Linked DNA regions of Coturnix japonica. The protein of the gene in region 2 purifies or fractionates together with the protein of the main gene of each other region. This does not show direct contact. Links are inferred from orthologs where the notes say so. Each region holds a gene or a part of one and is shown on either strand. Other genes may lie near its edges.

Evidence for each region.
Region 1: the proteins of POLR3E (region 2) and POLR2K purify together in Homo sapiens (affinity purification with mass spectrometry; 3 studies listed by BioGRID and IntAct, with this or other methods). This does not show direct contact. The link is inferred for Coturnix japonica from reciprocal best matches to the Homo sapiens genes POLR3E and POLR2K.

The regions. Positions count from the first base shown.
Region 1 is NC_029517.1:116,283,368-116,293,826, forward strand, and holds POLR2K (DNA-directed RNA polymerases I, II, and III subunit RPABC4), read left to right. Parts: upstream 1-4,671; 5' UTR 4,672-4,691; coding exon 4,692-4,766; exon of another isoform or gene 4,767-4,797; intron 4,798-5,567; coding exon 5,568-5,631; intron 5,632-6,335; coding exon 6,336-6,428; intron 6,429-6,597; coding exon 6,598-6,620; 3' UTR 6,621-7,086; downstream 7,087-10,459. Other genes in the region: SPAG1 (sperm-associated antigen 1), read left to right, coding at 8,257-8,396, 8,762-8,921. UniProt on the Homo sapiens protein: DNA-dependent RNA polymerase catalyzes the transcription of DNA into RNA using the four ribonucleoside triphosphates as substrates.
Region 2 is NC_029529.1:8,325,066-8,335,608, reverse strand, and holds the start of POLR3E (DNA-directed RNA polymerase III subunit RPC5), read right to left. Parts: upstream 6,911-10,543; 5' UTR 6,785-6,910; intron 4,841-6,784; 5' UTR 4,796-4,840; coding exon 4,760-4,795; intron 3,945-4,759; coding exon 3,894-3,944; intron 3,332-3,893; coding exon 3,254-3,331; intron 2,445-3,253; coding exon 2,329-2,444; intron 1,381-2,328; coding exon 1,298-1,380; intron 603-1,297; coding exon 495-602; intron 51-494; coding exon 1-50. Other genes in the region: EEF2K (eukaryotic elongation factor 2 kinase), read right to left, coding at 10,154-10,263. UniProt on the Homo sapiens protein: DNA-dependent RNA polymerase catalyzes the transcription of DNA into RNA using the four ribonucleoside triphosphates as substrates.

The sequences.
Region 1 (10,459 bases), on a different chromosome or scaffold from region 2:
AAAAAGTCAAGAGCCTCAAAGTTTGAAGTGGCTGATTTCAGTGGGGTGTTGTTGGCCTCAAGACCTGGTACCTTGGAACAAAAAACTGGAATTCATCACTGAAAACAAAACTGGAATTTTTATAGGTGGCTTAAATAACAAGCATGAAAATATCACTATTCATATCACTGACACAGTCAGGACCTAAGCCACCAAATACAGCTGAGGCAAACTCAAACTCTTAGGGAAAGAAGGGGGAAAGAAATTATCCTGTGATGATCTAGGGTCAATTTTCAACCTATAATGAAGGCACTCTATAAGAGTTGCAATACAGAACATAACTTCATAGAATCACCAAGGTTGGAAAAAATCTCCAAGATCATCTAGTCCAATCATCAACCTACCACCAGTATTTCCACACTAAACCATGCTCCCCAGTACAACATCTGTACATTTCTTGAACACCTCCAGGGATGGTGACCCAACCACTATCCCAGGTAGCCTTTTTCAGCACCTGATCACTCTTTCAGAGAAGAAATTTTTCCTAATATCTAACTTGAACCTGCACTGGCACAACTTGAGGACATTTCCTCTTTCTTGTTGCTAGCAAAAAGAAAGAATAAGCCAACAACCACCTCACCACATCCTTTCAGGCAGTTGTAGAGAACAATGAGCTCTCCCTAGAACCTCCTCTTCTTCAGACTGAGTAACCCCAGTTCCCTCAGCCACTCCCCATAAGACTTGGGCTGCAGACCCCTCACAGCCTTTTTGCCCCTCTCTGAGCACCCTCCAAGACCTCAGTGTCCTTCTTGTAGTAGGGGGCACAAAACTTGCGTGTAGTACTCGATGTATGGCCTCACCAGTGCTGAGTACAGAGAGAAAAACACCTTCCTGGTCCTTCTGGCAGCTCTATTACTTACATAAGCCACTGGACTTCTTGGCTACCTGGGCGCACACCACTGGCTCATGTTCAGCCAAGTGCAACTAACACCCCAAGGTCCATCTCCTCTACACAACTATCCAGACATATTGCTTTGTTGTCTACAGTGAGTAGACTGCAATGCCAGTCCAGAGGACCGTGAAACTTGAGAACAGTCTGTGAGACCCTGACATAAAGGTCTGTGGAACCAGACTCATGGCAGTACAAAACAAGATATGTTTAAATCAAAGAATGCACCTAAATGAAAAGAATTTTTGCAGAAAAATTAGAATTAGAAGACAAATTTGGCCTGGTTATTTTCCCTTTCCCATATATCTCTACGAGTACATTATTTTCATCTTACTCTAGTACCTCACCTTTGCACCTGCTTTTCCTCATTGCTTTTTGCTCTTTCCTTGGATACACTCATTTAGCAAAATGAGAATGGAGGAAATTTGAAATACCACAACACAAAGTATATATTACGTTTTTAAGCAGCATAAAATTGCAGGGGAAAAAAAGGTTTTTACTGCTGTTGGGATGATCAGAACGGCAGAGTTAAAGCAGCGTTGAAACCTTAAGCAAAAGTGAAAACTACAATGTCAGTGAGCCAACGTCCAGCAGGAGGAGCCTCCGAGCTTCCTATATGGATTTTGCCTGTATACTAGTTATATTCATAAAAAATACTAGTTATATTCATAAAAGCTACCTCAAAAAACATTTTCAGACTCATTTACTGCTTTATAAGGCACTCTTATTTGATCTACCAGTTTTGATGTATAAAACCGAGAGTTTACTACTTCAGGATCTTGAAGTAATTGCTGGAAGTGTTAGGTTCCTTTTAGGCATCAGGAAACAGACAAGCGAGGAAGAACAGACTAGTCATATAGTAAGGACATATCAAGCTTGCTAGAGAAGAAGGAACAAAAGACATGCCTGTCCCTTCAATTTCTCTAATAGTTTTTTCCAATTCTGTAGTCTTCAAATTGGCCCACAAGTCAACAGCAAACTTTCTGGCAGTTTACAGAACAAAGAATTTCATGTTCATAGAGCCAAACTAAATAAGGGCAGCATTTGGACATTTGATTGAGAATAATATATGACACACCTAAGCTTAGAAAGCATTCTAAAATGGAGGAGGAAAGAATGCTGTTTACTGGAAAGCAATGTGAATGGCTTCTGTACCACAGATGAGTTCTAGAATGGAGCTACCCAAGCTTGATTCTAACTTACATTCCTTGGTAATGCACCCTGTACAAACCTGCCTCTAACAAAATATTTTCTACCCTTATTTGTCACTGTCCATCCTGTTAACCGAACAGATAAAGGTGAAGCTTTGGTAATACAGATCTACTTTATCAGATGTTTCATTAGAAATCATACTTGCAATAAAACTGACTTTATCTGAAGTCTCTAGTCTTAGAGCTCCCAGATCTAATGCCATCGATACCTTAGTTCAATCCTTTTTGTCAAATGGGGTTAACTTACCCTATTTGTGAGGCAATTGAAGATCCTCCACAGCAAATATACTGAATTCAAAGCACTATTTAATCCCTTACCGACAGCCTAAAGTGAGACAGGGCACGAGTAGAAAAGAGAGGTACAAAAGAAACGTTAATAAGAAGTGGGACGACAGCTGAGAAAGCTTCCCCTCTGTCTATACATGCTTTCACTGCCACATCCACCTACCAGCAATGAGGATAACTGATGCTACCTAGGGAGCAGTGTCGGGGTGAGGGGGCTCTCTCAGTCACCTGGACTGCTGGACACGAACACACAGCTTCACCTCCTTATCTAGCACACTGCTGGGCTGAAGAAACCGACCATAGAGGCCCCCACCACCGAGAACAGCCTGAGGAGGTCGGCGGGGCTGCCAAAGGAGATGAAAGGCGAGGCTGCCCTCCCTCCCGGCCAGCTGGCTGGGAAAGGCGGGGATCCTGCCGCCTCCACAGCTCGCCGCCCAGCTTCAGGGCCCGTTGCCCTTAGTGAGAAGCCGCTTCGCTTCTCTCCACCCACACCGGCTTCTCACGTGCGGCTGCAGCCGCTTTCCCTCGCTTGGGTTTGAACTGCCCGCCTTTACCAACCGCTCCGTTCTGCCACCCCAGTAGCGCAGCCCTAAGGCGAGAGCAGGGCGGGGGACGGCCTGAGGAGCGCTGCCTCCAAGGATGCGGACGGCACCATCTGGGCTCCGTGCTCTCATCGTACTTTATACTCCAGCTCGGCGGCTCCCGCCGCTCCCAGCCCTCCATAAAGCGCCCCGGTGCGGCCCCTCTGCCCGTCCCGTTCTGTCTCTCTCAGGAGCCGGGCTGAGGCGTTCCCGCTGCTCACAGCTTCTCAGAGTCGGGCGGGAGGCACCTTCAGCGGGTAGCCCGAGCCCTCACAGGTGGAACGTTGTCTGCACCAAGAGCTTAAAATCTGAGATGTAAGGGTGCTGATTAATTCATTTTAATTAGCTTATTTGTACCCGACAGCTCAGGAGCTAGATAATCATACAGAACTTCTGTTTTTTCTTTCATGGTTTACGCTTACGGCTCCACCAGAAACACTGTGAGATAAAACATGCTTTAAATCGTTGGGAGTAACTCCGAATGTAACGCCTCCACCCAGGGCAGAAAGATGGAGGTTCTCCGTGGTAACTAAGGCTGAGCAGGGCGGGCTCCATCCCCCCCAGAGCGGGGAAACGGGGCGTCTCGGTGTACGGGTAGTGCGACCGGAGGGTAACTGTAACGGGTAAAAACATTAGGGTTTTTGCGCTGGTTCCTCGTTCCATTTTAGAATGCGAATTAAAGAGTTTAGAAATGGAATCCAGGGTTTCCCAAAGTGCTTTCTGTAGCAGTTTCACGCCAGTCGGAAGAATTTCTCTTCAGGACCGGCGTTTATCAGCCCGTCGGAACGGGGCTATACCCCGAGGGAGGCGGCGTGAGGCACAGAAGTAATGGACGTTTAAAAAGACTCCATCCCACCGGGGAGCAGTTAAATGATGGATATAATCAAGATAATGAATGATTTTCTCGGGACAATCGATATATATTTTTTTCTCATGGGGTATAATTAGTAAGTAGGTTTTAAAGCATCACCTCGATGCTTTAATCATTTCGTCAAACCCGTTTTAAAATACAAAACGAGTGCGGGGAAAGATTATCGGCTTTACTTTAATTTCAGTGATTAGTTACTTGTGAGGTGTTAATTACTTTGTGTCCATCACCGGAGGAAGGGATCGTTCCGTTTTGGTTGGTTGATTTTTGCTCCCGGCAGCAGCTCCCACCTCGGAGGACCCGGGGCAGCGAACATCACTGCCGTGCACGTCCCGTTATTCTTACATGTGTTTTATTCCGGCACTAAGAAGTTACACTTAACTTTATTTTCGCACAGCAGCAAGACAAAGCCGATGAGCCGCCTAGAAATCCTTAGCACGTTGTTATTACTTCTAGCTTTCCCCAGGAGACGGTTGTTATTCGGCGTTCGGAAAGACGCATTTCCTCACATCAGGGAGATGTTATCTACAGAGCAGTATTTGTTATACGTTCTTACGTACCTGAGGACGTGCCATTACTCACACAGGGACGCCTAAGGGGCACCCAGCACTCGCCCAGCTGTAGGGCTGAGCCGGTGACTGACAGCACCGCGGCTTGCCAGTTTGTTTCAATGCGGGAATACATGGCACAGACCGCAGGGTACCGAGATTTAGTTACCAGCGCCAGGCTCAGCTCACTAGCGCTTCCAACTCTCACTCCCCCAAGGCTCCATCAGCCGCTATCCGCTGTAAACCCGACACAGCGCCTTAAGGACGGCGATGCAGACCCGCCCCCTCCGGCTTTGCGTAGTGACGCCATCATTCGGCGCCGAGGGGACGGCGAGGAGTGTGGAGGTTGGTGCCGCTTTCGGCTTATCCCTGCCGGGTTGGTGGTGGTGGTAGATTCGGGGTGAGGGGGGAGTGGGGAAAGGGTCGACCAAGCCCCTGGGGGTCAGTGGGGAGGAGGCGTGGCTGGCGCTGAACCGAGGCGGGCTGGGGGGGGATCATTGAATCATAGGCTCATAGAATGAGCTGGGTTGGAAGGGACCTCAAGGATCATGTAGTTCCAACCCCCCTGCCTGGCAGGGCCACCAAACATACACATTTACTAGATCAGGTTGCCCAGGGCCCCGTCCAACCTGGCCTTGAACACCTCCAAGGATGGGGCATCCACAACCTCCATGGGCAGCCTGTTCTAGGACCTCACTGGTCTCCTAGTGAAGATCTTCCCCCTAATATCCAACCTAAGTCTACCCTCTTTCAGCTTAAATCCATTTCCCCTTGTCCTGGTATTATCAAGAAGGGGAGAAAAAATGCTTTCTTTCTCTGTATGGTCACAACCTTAAAACGTAGGTCTGCAGTAATACCTACATGTTAGGTGGGGGTTGCTAAAAAATGAATTGTTTGTGGAGTAGTTGTCTGATATTGTGAAGGAATGTTGGTGAACCTGAAGGCAAAAGGTTAGCGTGCCAGGACAAACAGAAGTCCTTTCCAATGTGTATCATCTTATGTAGCATATATTAAACAGAGCTTGAATATTTTTGTATTTATTTTAAAAGAACTTTTTCAATTTCTGTCAACTTTAGATGGAGATATTGAAATATTTGTGTAAGACAACAACAAAAAACATGTATTTTATTTGTTGTTTTTGCTTAGAACATGGATTCACAGAAGGACGTTCAGCCCCCAAAGCAGCAGCCAATGATTTACATTTGTGGAGGTAAAGAAAAGACATTAGTGGTATTCAATGCTCTAATAATGAGGAATGTGCAGTCATAGTGCCACAGAGTACAGAAATCTACATAACTGGGTTGTGGATCCTGATGATGCATTAAGCTTTATGCACTGATGCTCCCATATGCATGGATTACTTGTGGTTATTGATGTGGAAGTCGTTCACTAGAACCTCTGTTGCTGTGTGGGGGTCCTGCATCTCTAGAGGATGATAGCAGAACTTTTATATATTGCATCTTGGAGACAAAGTTTTTTTGGAAATAGTGTTGTCATTCAACTTTCACTAATGCACAGTTGTCAGATTTTCTCTACCTAAACATAAGTTAATAAAGTGAAAATTGGAGCTTTTGAGTAACCACTTTAAAAGCCTCAGAAAAATTTAGGCTTAAGAAAATAAACTTGGTGGCTCGGAGGGGCTGAGAGGAAGGTTTCATTAGTGGAGTGTGGAATGGTACAGTAATGTTTGGATACTTTTTAGCAATCTAAGTTTGCCAATTCTTTTTTTTTTTTTTTTCCTTAACAGTATCTTAATATAATTCAGTTACTTATTAAAATTCACTGCAATTATTTTCTGTTATGCTTTGTTTGCTAGTAAAAGGAATTAGACCATTGTTACATCTGAAAGCTATCTGTGCTTTAGATATGCTGCTTTTGTTCACTCATTGCTATTCTCCTTCTCCATCATATCAGAATGTCATACAGAAAATGAAATAAAGGCAAGAGATCCGATCAGATGCCGAGAGTGTGGGTACAGAATAATGTACAAGAAAAGAACAAAAAGATGTATCCTTTTACAAAGGCAGTCGAATGCATTTGGGAAGCTGTGGGGCAAGCTGTGTAAGAAAATTGACTTCAGATTTATGCATTCCCTCTTTTTGTTCTCCTTGACCCCTTTCCTCCCCTGATCTTTCCTTGAACTGCAACGCATTTTTCTTTAACTGCACAATTCCAGTGGTGGTTTTTGATGCCCGGTGATTTGACCTGAAGATACATCAATTTTATACTTCAGTTTAATATTTCTGGCAACTTTGCTCTGTAAATCCATTGGTGTATAAATGCATAGTTTAGTGGTTTAAGATATTAAAATATTAAACTTCACTGTGATACTACTTGCCATACCATCTCAATTCTGTCTATACTACTTTTAGAAATGGGTTTCTTCCTTAAACTTTAGTCAGAATGTGCAGCATTCTGTTAAATTCATTGGTATTATATTCATTTTTGAGTTAAGTGTTAACCTTGTTTTCACAGCTCACACCTAAGCCTTACCTGTGTTTCAGCTCTTCAGTGTTTTTTGGACTCCTGTGAACTGCATAAGATAATCTTGGTTTGAATAAATCCCAGTGAAGACATATTGAAAGTCACGCAAAATCAGGTCTGAAATTTGGATTTGAACTCGACAGGACCCAAATCAGGATAAAAATAAATGTGTAAATAGAGATTCTCAGGCTGTTTTGTGACCTTGCTTGTACTCACTAAAATAAGTAGGTCTACAGTATAAAGAAACCTTGGATAAGGTAAAACTGAAATAACGTCATTTTGCTTTTCGGATGATTTCTCATGAGTCTGTATTAAGAAGTGGTTGCCGTTTTGTACTGATAAGCCCAAACTTTTTGCATCCATTTTCCTGTTCAGAACATTTATATTCAGAATATTTAATACTAAAATACCCATAGCGCCAATTTGTCTTAAAAAACACTGCTGCTTTGTGTGTGGTGCTAATTTAGCCTGATTAAATGCTTGCAAATCCAAATTTTGTTTCCAGTGCTGATGAGGCTGTTGAAAGACAAACATGTCATTTCACTGTTATCTGTACAGTATGATACCACTATTAGGGGGTGTGCTGGCTGCTGCAGAAAGCAACAGGGATGGGTTTTAGTGGGCCCAAGGTTGTGGGCAGTGGTGAGGCTCAGGGCACTTGGAAGAGCGTCGGACTGGATTTAGACTGGATGAAATACTACACTGAAAGCTGATGTTTTATGGAAGCTCAAACTCAACGGCTGTATTTCTGAAGGGAATACCCTCTCTGAAGTCAAATCATTTTTAAGAACCATTTTATGGAAATTATATTTAATAAAATATAAATTAAAGCAGTGTTATATGTTCCTAATAGTCAGAACGTTGGAGAGCTGCAGCTCGAGCGACCCCGCGCTGACAGGGCCGGCCGAGCCCCTCAGCTATTCACTCACTACGCGGCGCTCCTTCGCCATCGCTCCGCTGTGCATGCGCGGGCAAGGCGGGCGTCCACGGCGGAGGTGAAGGCTGTTAGGAGCGCGGTAGGTGGGTGTCAGGGCCGTCGTGTAACTCCGTGTCCTCCACAGAGCCGGCGGGGCTCTGCGGCTCCTCGCAAGGGGTTGGCTGTGTGGTTTCTTGCGGCTTCTCCGTCTATTACCTCCCCACAGCGCCGCCGGCCGCCATGTTGTACATAGCAACGGCTGCTATGTTGCCATTGCTGCCTCTCGGTAGATCTCCGTGAAGAAGAAATCGTGGCATCAGGTCATCAGGCAGTAGTTCTGCTGCAATTAGTACCTTGTAGCATTAAAACACGGCTATTCCTTAAATTAGCATTGCTCTAGCCCCCAGAGATTTATTTTTCTTTTAATGTTTAGTGATGAGTGATGCGTCAATAATGTATTTGCTGGACCAAGGAACTACTAAAACATATCAAATACCTATTGGTCATCTCGACTACAAGTTCATTGAAAAATGTACGGATGTTCCATACCTGGAAAAGATTCTCAAGGTGCTAAGGTAAACGTTATCTTTAATGAACTTCATTACTAATTGTATTCCCATTCTATCTCTCTTGAACCTCTTTGTAGTTTTCGTATTTAAAACCTTGAAATTAAGATGCACTGTGAAAGTAATTGTGGTAAAAGCGTCCAGATGATTAAATGAAGAGTTAGAAATTCAAGTCCACAGTGGATCTGTGTCTGTATGTCTGCTGGAAAATGGTTAACTGAGATTTTCTGATCAAAATCAAGAGGTGATAGATTTCAGTTAGAACAGGAAAATAACACTCTATAGTCACTGCATACAGACAAGTATGGATGTTTGTGGGGAATGCAGCGTAATTTAGTTCCCCTGTGTAACTTGCTTATGTGTTCATTTTAAAGGTCTGGTGAAGAGGGATGTTATCCTGACCTGATGTTGTTTTGTGAAAAGCGTATCGAGCATTTAGCTCCAGGGAGCAGAGTTCTCAGAAAGGATAAGCCAGCAGCCACAGCAGCTGATTTTACAGCTGAGGAATGGGAAACAATTAATGGTGAACTGATGGTACTGTATGACTCTAGTTCATTGTGGTCAGTAATGTAACCTCTTTGTTTGGTCAGTCTTGACTGATTGTTCAACCTCATTTTGTGCTTAAGTAGAACACGATTATTTGATTAAATGAGGAAATGATAGGAGGGTTCTGTTGTGGTTTTCTTTGTTAATATTTATTGAGATAATGCTAATTACTCTTTAATACCCATCATAACTCTACAGAACATATTTGTATATTATTATTCATTCGAAAAAGCTCAAAACAATTGCAAACTGCGTATAGAGAATGCACTTTTCACAATCTTTTCATGAAAGAGCAGATCATTTTTTCCATACTGTTCAGTATGGAACATACTGAAGATCTCTTTGCAACTGAAAATATTGAAGAAGTCTAAGTGGGCATAAGCATTTTAGATTATATTATTTTAGCCAAAAAACCAGAATCTCTAGTAGTGTCATTCCTTAGTAGCACCCCTTGCCTGTGATAAAAAATCCAGATGTATATATAACAGAAACACAGAATCACAGAACTGTAGGGGCTAGAAGGGAACCATCAGAGATCATCAGGTCCAGCCCACATGCCAAAGCTACAAGCTGCAAAGGTAGGTGTTCAGACAGGACTTGAATATCTCCAGAGGAGGAGAATCCACAACCTCCCTGGGCAGCCTGTTCCTGTGCTCCATCAGCCTCACTGTGAAGAATTTGTTTTGCATGTTGGTGTAGAACTTTTATGCTCCAGTTTGTGGCTATCTGCCCTTGTCCTGTTCCCACAGACCACTGGAAAGAGGTTGGCCATGTCCCTTTGACTCCCACACTTAAGATATTTATGAACATTAGTAAGATCAACTCTGAGTCTTCTTTTCTCAAGGCTGAACAGACACAGGCTGCTCAGCCTTTCCTCATTGGGGAAATCCTCCAGGCCAGTTATCATCTTTGTAGCCCTCTGCTGGACTCTCTCTAGGAGATCCCTGTCTTTTTTGTACTGGAGAGCCCAGACCTGGACAGAGCATTCCAGGTGAGGCGTGACCAGGACAGAGCAGAGGGGGAGATTCACCTCCCTTGACCTGCTGGCCATGCTCCTTAAATAATGAAGTGATGCTTTTTATGGCCCAGAAATTAACATGCTATGAATTGAATTATGTAGGAAAAGATAAAGCAGCAAAACTAATCTTACGAGAAATTAAGCGTATCTATTTTTAATTAGAATCTATGAAAAAACAGGTGAATGCTTTTTGTTGCTTTGTAAATGTAGAAGGTCAGTTGGAGGCAATTTTGTTCATAGCATGTTCTAATCAAATCATTCTCTTTCTTCTTGAGACTAATTGTTTCCTGTCTTTTAAGGGTGATTCTCCAAGTGCTTCTGAATGATTAAAAGCACTTCTATTTTTTGCATATTTCTCTTTATAATGGTTACCATTTTGAGGCTCTAAATGATGATAAAGGAATGTGCACTTGTGCTGTGTTCATCATTAGGTTTTCTTGAATTGACAATGTTATGAATAGAAATAACCCTTTAAACTTAAGGAACTTAAGCTTATGTTTAAGGTTTT
Region 2 (10,543 bases):
AGTAATTTGCTTAATGTCATCTTCAGCTTCATCCTGGGATGAATCACCACCTGCCAAAAAAAGAACAACAGGATAAAACCATCACTGCAATAAAACAACCAGAGCCAATCTGTAACTGGAGGCCTGCTCTGGAAGAAGGCAGAAATAGGAACTATCACTTGCTAAACTATGCAGCATATGACAGTACCACACCGCTCATGTAATAGGAGAAACTGCTCCCATGAATTTGGCACCGATGTTTTTCAATGGCTGTGGTGGCACTTCCTACTGCTGCCCTTTGACAGTACCCACTGTCTTCTTTCTCTTTGCCAGTTCCCCACACCTTTCCACAAAAATCTTGATGCAACTACACTGAAAACACGATCAGGGAAAAAAACTGGCTGTGAAATGGTTCTATAATCAGTTCATTGCTATATTAAACACCTTTGAATAAAATTATAGAGAGAATTTGCATCCTACCTCTCAAAAGGAAACACAACTCACGTAGCATTTACCTTCATTAGCAGCTTCTCTTTCGCGGTGTTTTGCATCAGCTTTATCCAAGTAGGTGAAACTTGGCCTCAGCTGAAGAATTCCATGCAGTGGAGTCAGATGAAGTTCACCTGAAAAAGAGAATGGATATTGGTTAAAGGTATTGTTTTCTAGTGCACAGAGACAGTACTTTCATCACTTTGCTACCTCTGCAACAGCACCGCTTGCAGAGAGCACAAATATTTAACACAGTAAAAAGGGATTAAGTGATTCATCCAGTTCACAGAATTTCAAAGGAGTATGAAAAAAAATCAAGACCTACTCCTGCTACCTTATTTTTTAATGTTGGAGCCAGATCTTACAGAGAGCCCCATTTTGGCTCAGATCTGATCTGTCAGGAGACTACTAGTGAAAGAGACATCACTGTAGGCAATCTACAATGATCCTCACATCAAAACTCTGCGGTGACAGTAGGAAACAAGAGAAGGGCAGGATGTGCTGAACAGGCAAATAAAACAGCCATGCCTAGATGGAGATAATAATACAATGTAAGTGAGATAAATAATTTTTTTTGCAAATGTATGTTTCAGGCCATCACGGACTACTAAGATCCTGGAGGCACCTACAGTGTCCTGCTATATTATTTAAAACTCTGCTGGAGCTCCTCAAGGACTCCAGGGATGCTCATAAGGAAAGCTTTCATTTTATTTAGAAAAGCATCAATTAAATATGAGCCTATGCTATTAAAAACACAGAACAAACAGCTCTTATTTAACCCAGAAATTCACATATTTCACTGATGTGAGGGGTAACAAAACAAAGTCACCTTTTCTATAAACAGCAGCTGCATAGCGGGAAACATTACTTGCAGCTTGCGAAGAGCAGAAAGTTTGTTTGTCCATCAGCTTCCTGCAAACAGATGAATGCTGTAAGATTATATGCTACAGGCAACGTGGCATACAGATGTTAAAAGGCCTGAAATCACAAAGTCTCAAAATGGTCCATCAGCAAATACTTTAAATACTGAGGCTAGTTTTGTGTAACGTTTTAATCAACAATCTGCATGAGGGCACTGAGTGCACTCTCACTAAGGCAAGACTGTTGATCTGCTTGAGGTCAGGAAGGCTCTGCAGAGGGACCTAGATAAGATTGATGGGCCAAGTTACATGACATGACATGAACTAAGGGTAAGTGCTGGGTCATTAATAACCCCATCCAGCAGTACAGCCTTGGGGCAGAGTGGCTGGAAAGGAGAAGGACCTGAGCATGCTGTGCTGGTCAGCAGCCAGCTAATGTGAGCCAGCAGTGTACCCATGTGGCCAAGAAGGCCAATGGCACCATAGTCTGCAACAGAAATACTGTGACCAGCAGGACTGGAAAGTGATTGATCCTTTGCATGCAGCGCTGGTAAGGCCACACCTTGAGCACTGCATTCAGTTTTGGGCCCCCATTACAGGAAGGATATTGACTTGACTGAGCATGTGCAGCAAAGAGCAATAAAGCTGGGGACTACAAAACAAGATTAGGAGGAATGACTGAGGGAACTGGAGTTGTTTAGTCTGGAGAAAGGAAGGCTCAGGAGAGACCTCAGTTCTCTATAACTGCCTGAAAGGAGGCTGCAGTGAGGAGGTGTTGGTCTCTTTTCTCAGGTGACAAGTGATAGGACACAAGGAAACAGCCTCAAGTTGTGCTGGGGAGGTTTAGATTGGATACTGGGAAGAACTTTTTCATAGAGAGGCACAAAGGTGGAGCCCTCACTCCTGGAGTTATTAAGAGATGTGTGGATGGACATGGGCCTAATGGACATACACATATCTGCACACCGCAGAAACAAAGGAAAGCAAACAGGACACCTACGAGGAATAGGTACTTGTTTCATCTGTACAAGTGCCATCTACATTGAGAGCAATCTGTTCTCCTTTGCTGCGACAGTAGTTTGGATTCAAAGTATCAATGGCCATTTCCAGTTCAACCTAAAAAATGTGAAAGAAAAGGCAAATTATTACGATGGCAGAACTCCAGATGTATAATCAATTAAACTTACAAATTACAGCCACCACCTCACTTTTATTCCCCTTCATGTTACTTGTAAACTGAAGTAGTGACCAGTCCCTGGTTATGATGGTAGATTTATACATCTGCTAATTCTAATTAGAAAAATCCTTAACACAGCATAGGCTGTGACTCCAAAATTCACATAAGCACTCTCCTCAACTATTTCCCAGAAAAGAATCCTGCTATCACACACCCGTGAGTGGTTTTTTTCATTTTTTTTTAACATGAGGCATTTTAAAATCACAGCTACAGGTTTGGAATTCTTCTGTAGTCAAGTGAAATCATTCTGGCTTTGGTTATACTTTCACCACCCCACTGATTCTCAAACGGGACAGCTGATGGTTCACAGCCAGGCAAAGGAAGAATCAAGACACACAATGACTCTAAAAGACAAAGCACGCCTTCAAACCTCAACAAAATTCTAAATATTGTGAAAGTCTTTAAAATCAATCTTGTACAGACTGAATAACAGTAGCCAGAGTTTCCTGAATGATTCTGTTTTTATATATTTTTTTCCATTGTGACATTCATTCCTCTCTTAATAAACCATTCTTCTTTTAAGCTCTCCTGCAGTCTTACAGTGACAGACTCCCTGTTCCCCAAGCACAGAGATCTGGTCCCACAAGCTGCACACTTAGAACAGCTTAGCAGCCCAGTGTAATGACCTGAAGCACATTCCAGACAGTGTAACACAACTTTCACAGACTGGACTCAAATGATGACCAACCTTTTGCTGCTTTGGCTTTATCTTCGCTGATAAATGTGTAACATCATCATATGTCATGGAAGCTGGACGAATTGGGTACTGCAAAACACATCAATTTCATAGAAATTCTTAATTTAAAAGCAAAAGAATTTCACAGAAATTTATTAAACCCTGCCTGACCCTTTACATGTAAAGGCACTTTCCCGATGGTTACAAGATCTCAATGAATGACTTTTGTAATCTTGTGAGTCATCAGATCTCCAAGTATGGTCTAGAAAGCTTTCCCCTCCAACCTCTGCTGCTGTCACTTCACCCTTTTCCATTTCCTGCCTCCAACACATCACTATGTGCTATAAGACAAGAAAATGGTACAACACATTAATCCAACAGCAAAAGGATGTAAAGCCATGAAAACCCGTTAACTCCATGACTAAATAAACTCCATCTCCTAAAATAATTCCCTCAGGGTTTATAGGCAATGATTTAATGTTAAGCCAATGCCATAAACAATCACTCTTCTCTTACAAACAATTTAATACTAAATGTTTCAACTGAGACCATACAGCTTTGCCTGTTCCCTGTAAGAGGTAAATAAAGCTATTGCTCTTTCCATTAATTTATTTTAAACAAATTTTCACTAAATAAAAGCTAACTGAAATACCTGAAACAGATACAACTTCTCCAGCAGACTTCTGGCCAGGAATACATCAATCTGAAAGGCAACACAAACAACCTGCATCAGATAACAGCTATGATGGATGGAGCCTCAGGCATAAGTACAATCCCTAGAGCTCAAATACTGTGAAGAATTGCTCCTAATTATGAACTGTATATAAATCTCACTCATGACTTGATAAAAGTCGAATTTCTGCTGATTTTGACTTGTAATGTAGCAGCTGGATTCTTAGAGAAAAAAAAACAACACAACTATGATGAGGCAGGAGACAGCGCTGCATATTTTTGTCTCTGAAATGAAACAAGAAATTTGTTTGTCTGTGGGGCTGAAGTGAATCTATCATCACAATCTGAGAAAGAAGAGGATGTTCTCATCAGCAGCATGACTGAAAGTTAACTTCCTTGCTGGTGTTTTGCCATGATAACTTTCTAAGCTAGACAAAACACACCCACGTGCCAAATCTCATTTTAATACAAGCACTTTGCCACCAACACCTAAAATCCACAGATGTGTCATGAAGATCACACACAGACGTTTCCATTTTAGGTACCTTTCGAGACACTTCTGTCAAACCCCGCTTGTCACAAGCTTGTCCTCGCTCATATCTCTGGTGCATGAGTTCATACACAAAGTGAATGAAACACTGGGTACTGTTTGGGGTGGAAAAGATCCTTAAGGAAGCCCACAATTGCACTACAACTGCTTGTTTTTAGCAGAAGGTATAAAACTGTTTCAGCTTCATTTATAACAGATATGAATTCATCAAAATTGTAATTAGAGCAATAGAACAGAAGTTGAATAACACAAAAAAAGCCACACGCAGAACCACTGCAGCCACAAAGCACGTTTACCTCTTGTATAATTGGATCATCTTCTTCATTTGCCATGCTAGGATACAAAAAGCTTTTCCTTGGCTTATTCCTTGGCACAATCTGAAAGAAAACAGATATGTCATATGAGTCACTACATCTGTGCCACGTACCACACAGAGCCTAGACTGTTTGTTCAAGCACACACCACTTTCTTTTCAGTGCTGAGCTGCTGTGTGTGTTGTGAAGGAGTGTTCATGTTGGCACAACGCGGCCCCTCACACCTCACCACCTCTACCAACTGCCACCAACTCCAAACACAAACAAGAGTCTCGAAAGTAATTAAGCTCCTGAAACTTTGATGAAAGCCAGCATAAGAGAGAGCACTAAACCAGAGCTCTGCAGAGGGAAGGACAGGCCTTCAGTACTTGTGTGCAGCAATACCCTTTATATCCTGTGTGACTAGTGCACCCTGGCAGCAGCTGGTTTTGCAGCCAACATGCCCAGGCTCTGAAATAGCCACAGCACTTGTCACCGTCACTAAGGATGGTGCCGTGCTGCTCACCAGCTCTCCCTCCTGCTCCAATAGATCTTACTCTCACCACTGACACACACTCACCTCTTTGCTGGGCTTCCTAGAAAGAAGAAGGGGCAGCCAGTGACAGAAGAGAGACAGAAGCATCCACTCTACATCCCCAGCTGTGCTGATTATTTTCAAGTACACAATTCACCACTTACCCATCCCAATATATTTCAACACACACATGGTTTTCTCAGATCATCGCACTAACATCCACAGTTATCCAAGAGATGTGGCACTGAAGCTCAATGAGCACCGGGCACTTTGCAGCTCCCAGAAGCACATCCATGGCCACAAGCAGTGAGATGTGTCAGCTCCAGCTCAGTGCTGCACATCCCATGTGCTCAGCACAGTGCAGCACACAGACAGCTCGGCACAAAATGGAGCCTTCATTCAGAACAGAGCCAGCACCGGGAGCACATGGCAGCCCTGGAGGTGGGAGCTGCAGGTCTGAGCCCTCTGTCCTGGCCCTGTGTGGGGATGGGGAACCTGCTCCTGCCTGACAGCCAGGTGTGTGCTCAGCTGCTCCTTCCCTCCTGACAATATTATATCACTTTTCCAAACAGAATTTCAGATTTCCTGGGCCAAGATGAGAAAGAGAAACTCAACCTGAAGGACCTGGTTCCTCCTTGGGAATCCAGCTCATTACTTACAGAAAACATCAGATCACAATTACAACTTTTCTTAACCACTTATTGGTAAGGAATGACTGCAGGTGCTTTCATGGGAGGACCAGAACAGACCTACACCAGGAAGCAGCGTGTCCCAGAACAACGTACAACATTCGTGTGCAGAATCCTCTGATCAGAGCGAAGCTTCCACTGAAGACACGCAGACACAATTAATTCTGCATCTGCAGTTTGCACGTAGATACAGGAAGGAACCCCACAGGAATAACAGAGTGGAGTGAAGCTCAAGGAGGTTTCAATCATGGCCACCAGAGCATTTGTTTCACGTTTCCTCTTGCCAAGATTGCTCCCTTTACAGAAGGACTTTCCTGTGCATCTCAGCACCAGTGCAAGTTATTAGTGTGAGTCATTGAGCCTCTGAGCACAGAAGATACAGATCTCCTCAGCGTGACCAAGGCTGGGCTGCCATAACCACCCTCCCACCATCAATTCAGAACCAAACATGAGAAAAAATGCTCTGACCAGGAAAGTCTAGAACTGCCACGGGGGAACCGAACGTTTTTCCTCTCAGGTTCAGCCCCGAATGGCGTGTGGGCACACGGAGCACAGCCGTGCACAGGGGCAGCGCAGCCCGCAGACCCGGCCCGACACTGAGAGGAGCCGAGAGGAGCCGCGGGGCCGGAGCCCCGTCCATCCCCTCAGGGCCCGGCCCGGTGGCTCCTGTCAGCGCCCCGCGCCCGCTCCCACCGCCCCACGGTGCGAATAGAGCCCGCAGTACAGGCCGCACCCCCTCCACCCCCCGCCGCTCCCGCTCCCGCGCGGCCCCGCAGCAGCACGCGCAGCCCCGCACCCGCTCACCTGGCGGAGGCGCCGCGCGGGCGGCCGGGCCGCCGGTCCCCGGTGTCGGTGCGCGGCGCGGCGGGCGGCTTCAGGCGGCGGCCATGTTGGTGTCACTGCGGCCGGCACGTGGGGCCCCGGCCCTCCTCCTACCCACAATGCTCTGCCGGAGCAGCGCGGCGCGGCCGCCAGGGGGCGCTGCAGGAAACAGAGGAGACAAAAAATGAACCGCTGGCAGCGGTGGGATTCGAACCCACGCCTCCAGGGGAGACTGCGACCTGAACGCAGCGCCTTAGACCGCTCGGCCACGCTACCGCCGTGCTCCGGCTTCTTCCGGCGCTGCCTTTCACTGCGGCACCGAACGCAGCTGCGGCCGAGACGGCACCGAGCGCTGCCACGTGTGCGCGATGGGAAGGGGGCTGAGCGTCCGGCGCAGCGTGGGGCGCGATTCAGTTCTGTGCTGCAAAACCAGAGCTCCGTTAATTTGAGGAGTCAGCAAACAGACTGCTGGAACTTTCTGCATGTCTCATGACACAGGAACTTTAAGTTAACTGGGCTCTGCTGCCCGTTTCCTTGCAGCAGTGTGTGGAGACTGGAAGTTGCTCAGCACGGCCCCAATGTCCCTGTGCAGGACGCAGACACGGAGCTGCGTGTGAGATCTTTGAGATCTGCGCCACCCCTGTACGGCGATGACACGGGGCTTTGTCCAAATTAAAGGGAGCTTTCTGTCAAACTCAAGCTATCTGCCTGGTTACATCGCTTTGCGTTACACTGAGGCAGGAGTTGGACAAGGTTATTAACGATACCCAAAGGCCTGGCCCCACGGGGCTCTGGGCCCCAAGGGTGGATCTGTGCTTACTACAACCAGCCCGACTCAGTGCTGCAATGATGCCAGGGATGGAGCCGAATCCTCCCTTTTACAGCACAGGTGAGACCTCCCGACTCAGCTCACCAACACTAAGCTCACCTACACTCAGGTCACCTACATTAAGCTCACCCACACTCAGCTCACCCACACTACGTGTGTCTTGGCTGTCACGCTGCTCCCAGAACAGAATGCAGGTCTGCATGGAGAATTGTGAGGTCCATGTCAGTCCCACGGAGCACAGCAGGGTAACAGACTATTCCTGTAGTGTGCTGGCTGCCTCCATGAGCTCTAACGAGCTCTAACTGTTGTGCTTTCCACCACCTGCTCCAGTTACCCAGCACTATTACCAAGCAGATGATGGGAGGGGGCAGGGAGTGACACAGGATGGGTGTTTGCATGTCTGCTGCACTAAGAAGGGGTTCCATCATGTCCTCACCCCAGCCGTGCTCCCACTGACACTCAGGAACAAAGCACCCGGATAAGTGTCACCAGGCCAAACCTCAAGACTTATTCTCACATTTTTTAAAAATACAGATTTTTCTTTATTCATTGTGAATAGATTAAAAACACAGCACAGAGCATCATTCCAACAGCCTGGCAATGCAGTTCTCTTTATCTTCAAACGAACATCACAAAACAAATTGTGCATATTTCTGTAAATGATTTTCAAACTGCTCTCAGCCCTCCTCACTGTACAGCTCACTAACAGGATACCACCCGAGGGCTCAGGGTAGTCTACAGCATTAAAAAGTATTGGCAAACAAATTACTGATCATGGTATTTTTTTCACTGAGCTATGTGGATGGACATTGACATATCAGATCTATGGAGAGCTGTCAGTAATTACTGAATGTAGCAAATGAATCTACATCAAGAAGTGTCAGTAATTACACTCTACTCCTTTACTTACACATTTTGGACGGTTGCATTCAATCTCCTCTCCTCCCTACATGGCTGGTGGGGTTGTTGCACGTTTGCTTCCTTCTCAAGGAAAACCTCAAACTCTTGGCACCAACACCTTACAGGGAAAACAAAACCTTTTATCTCCATTCATTAGAATGCCTACACTGTAAGTTCAGCACAAAACACTCACTGTTCAACCACCTTCAGAGGTGAATGGTACATTTGCCTTTCATCACCAAGTAATAATTAAACAATATGGAGAGCAAAAAGGCCACCGCCATGTATGGCTTAAGATTATGCAGACAAGATACAGGAATTCAAGTGTTTGGGGATTATAGTGTTTCCTCCTTATCAGCAATTTTCTGTAACTGACAATTAATACCATTAAACCATTCTCAGTCTCTTCTGAAGAACCTTTTAGAAAGCTCAATTGTAAACTACAGGAGATGATGTTAAATTCAGATGAAAACTCCCTGGTGTTAATACCATGGAAAATAAGCTCTGTACCGTATGGTAGTATTTAATAAATTACCCAACATAATCTGGAAATTTACATATATATGTGCATCTATCCTTCATCATTCAGCTCAAATCTATCAAAGCATCATGTGAAGTTACTATGTGAACCATAAGAGAGCAGATAAAACACACAAAGCCATTTAAACCAGATAAATTATTTTCCATACATAGCCATAGGTAAATCAACATTGCCTACGTTTTACAAATATCCCTCTGGAAATGCTGGAAAGTGTATTCTCATTTTCAGCGAGATGTCCTTGCTTTGCCAAGAACTGAGATGTCTCTGTAAAATACAGTACAGACTGGAAATCACTGGGTAAGTACTACATGAGATCAGCAGAATCCTACACAGTGAGGTTGTTATATTGTACAAAGTGTGAAAATGAGAGCGGTAGCTGGATGCCTCACCTCCTTAGGATCATTGGTGTTCTTCTGATAGTAAAATATGCAATGCTGGCAACAACATTCCGCCCTGAATAACCTCACTGTTATTCTGAAATCTTTTTTCCTCCACCTCTCCAAACTCCAAGGATTCTATCTAGAATTAATCTGAAAATAAGCCAGTGCCCACTGAAAGAATGGGACTTGTTAAAAAGAGGAGCTGCATGCTTCACATGCTTATATTGCACATTTACATTCACATGCAAGTTTGGTGAGATACGCCAACAATGAAGAAATGCTGTGAATGTAGGGAAGTTTATTTATTCTGTGTGTGGGGGGAGAAGAAAAATGTAAACACACTGATCAGCTGCTGCATATAAAGCAGAACATGTGAAACCCAAGCAGTCATTGGGTTCGCTCTTCATCCAAAAAAAAGTGAAAAATAAACATAAAAAAAAAAATCAGCCTCATCTGTTCTAAGAGTTAAAATATATGTCTATATAAAAGGTCAAGAGTGTCTGTACTACAGCTTGAAAACACTTGACAGAAATACACTATAGTGACCTACATCCCAGCTGCATTTGTATTTTCATCTTCAAAAGAAGTTAGAAAACTAAAAGTACAAAAAACCGCTAACGCCACAAAAATATATCTTTTTAGCTGCAAACGTAGTAATTCTTTAAAAAAAGTTTATATACAAGAACTGCTTCATTGAAATGTCATTCTTCCATCATCGCCCAGGCCTCTTCTGCTTTCTGGTAGTACTGATTTGCCAGTCTGCCCTTCATTGCTTCCATTGCTGCTTCTGCTGCTTCTGTGTAGAGATCACCTAAGGCAAGAAACAGTATCAGTCACACTGACAAGATAAAGGCATTTCTCTTTATCATAAAGGACAAAAATAACTTAACTTAACTTAAAATACAAGCAGCAACCTGCAGTTCAGTGGCCTCACAGGGAGTGAAGGATAACGCCAGCTTCTTGGTGTGCCACAAGACTGGAGCAGGCACCACCCACTACCCCTGTCATCAGGGAAATCTTTTCCCTTCCCTCCCCCCCAGAATTTTCAGCCTTACATCACTCACTGTCATTACAGCTTGAGATTACCGAGC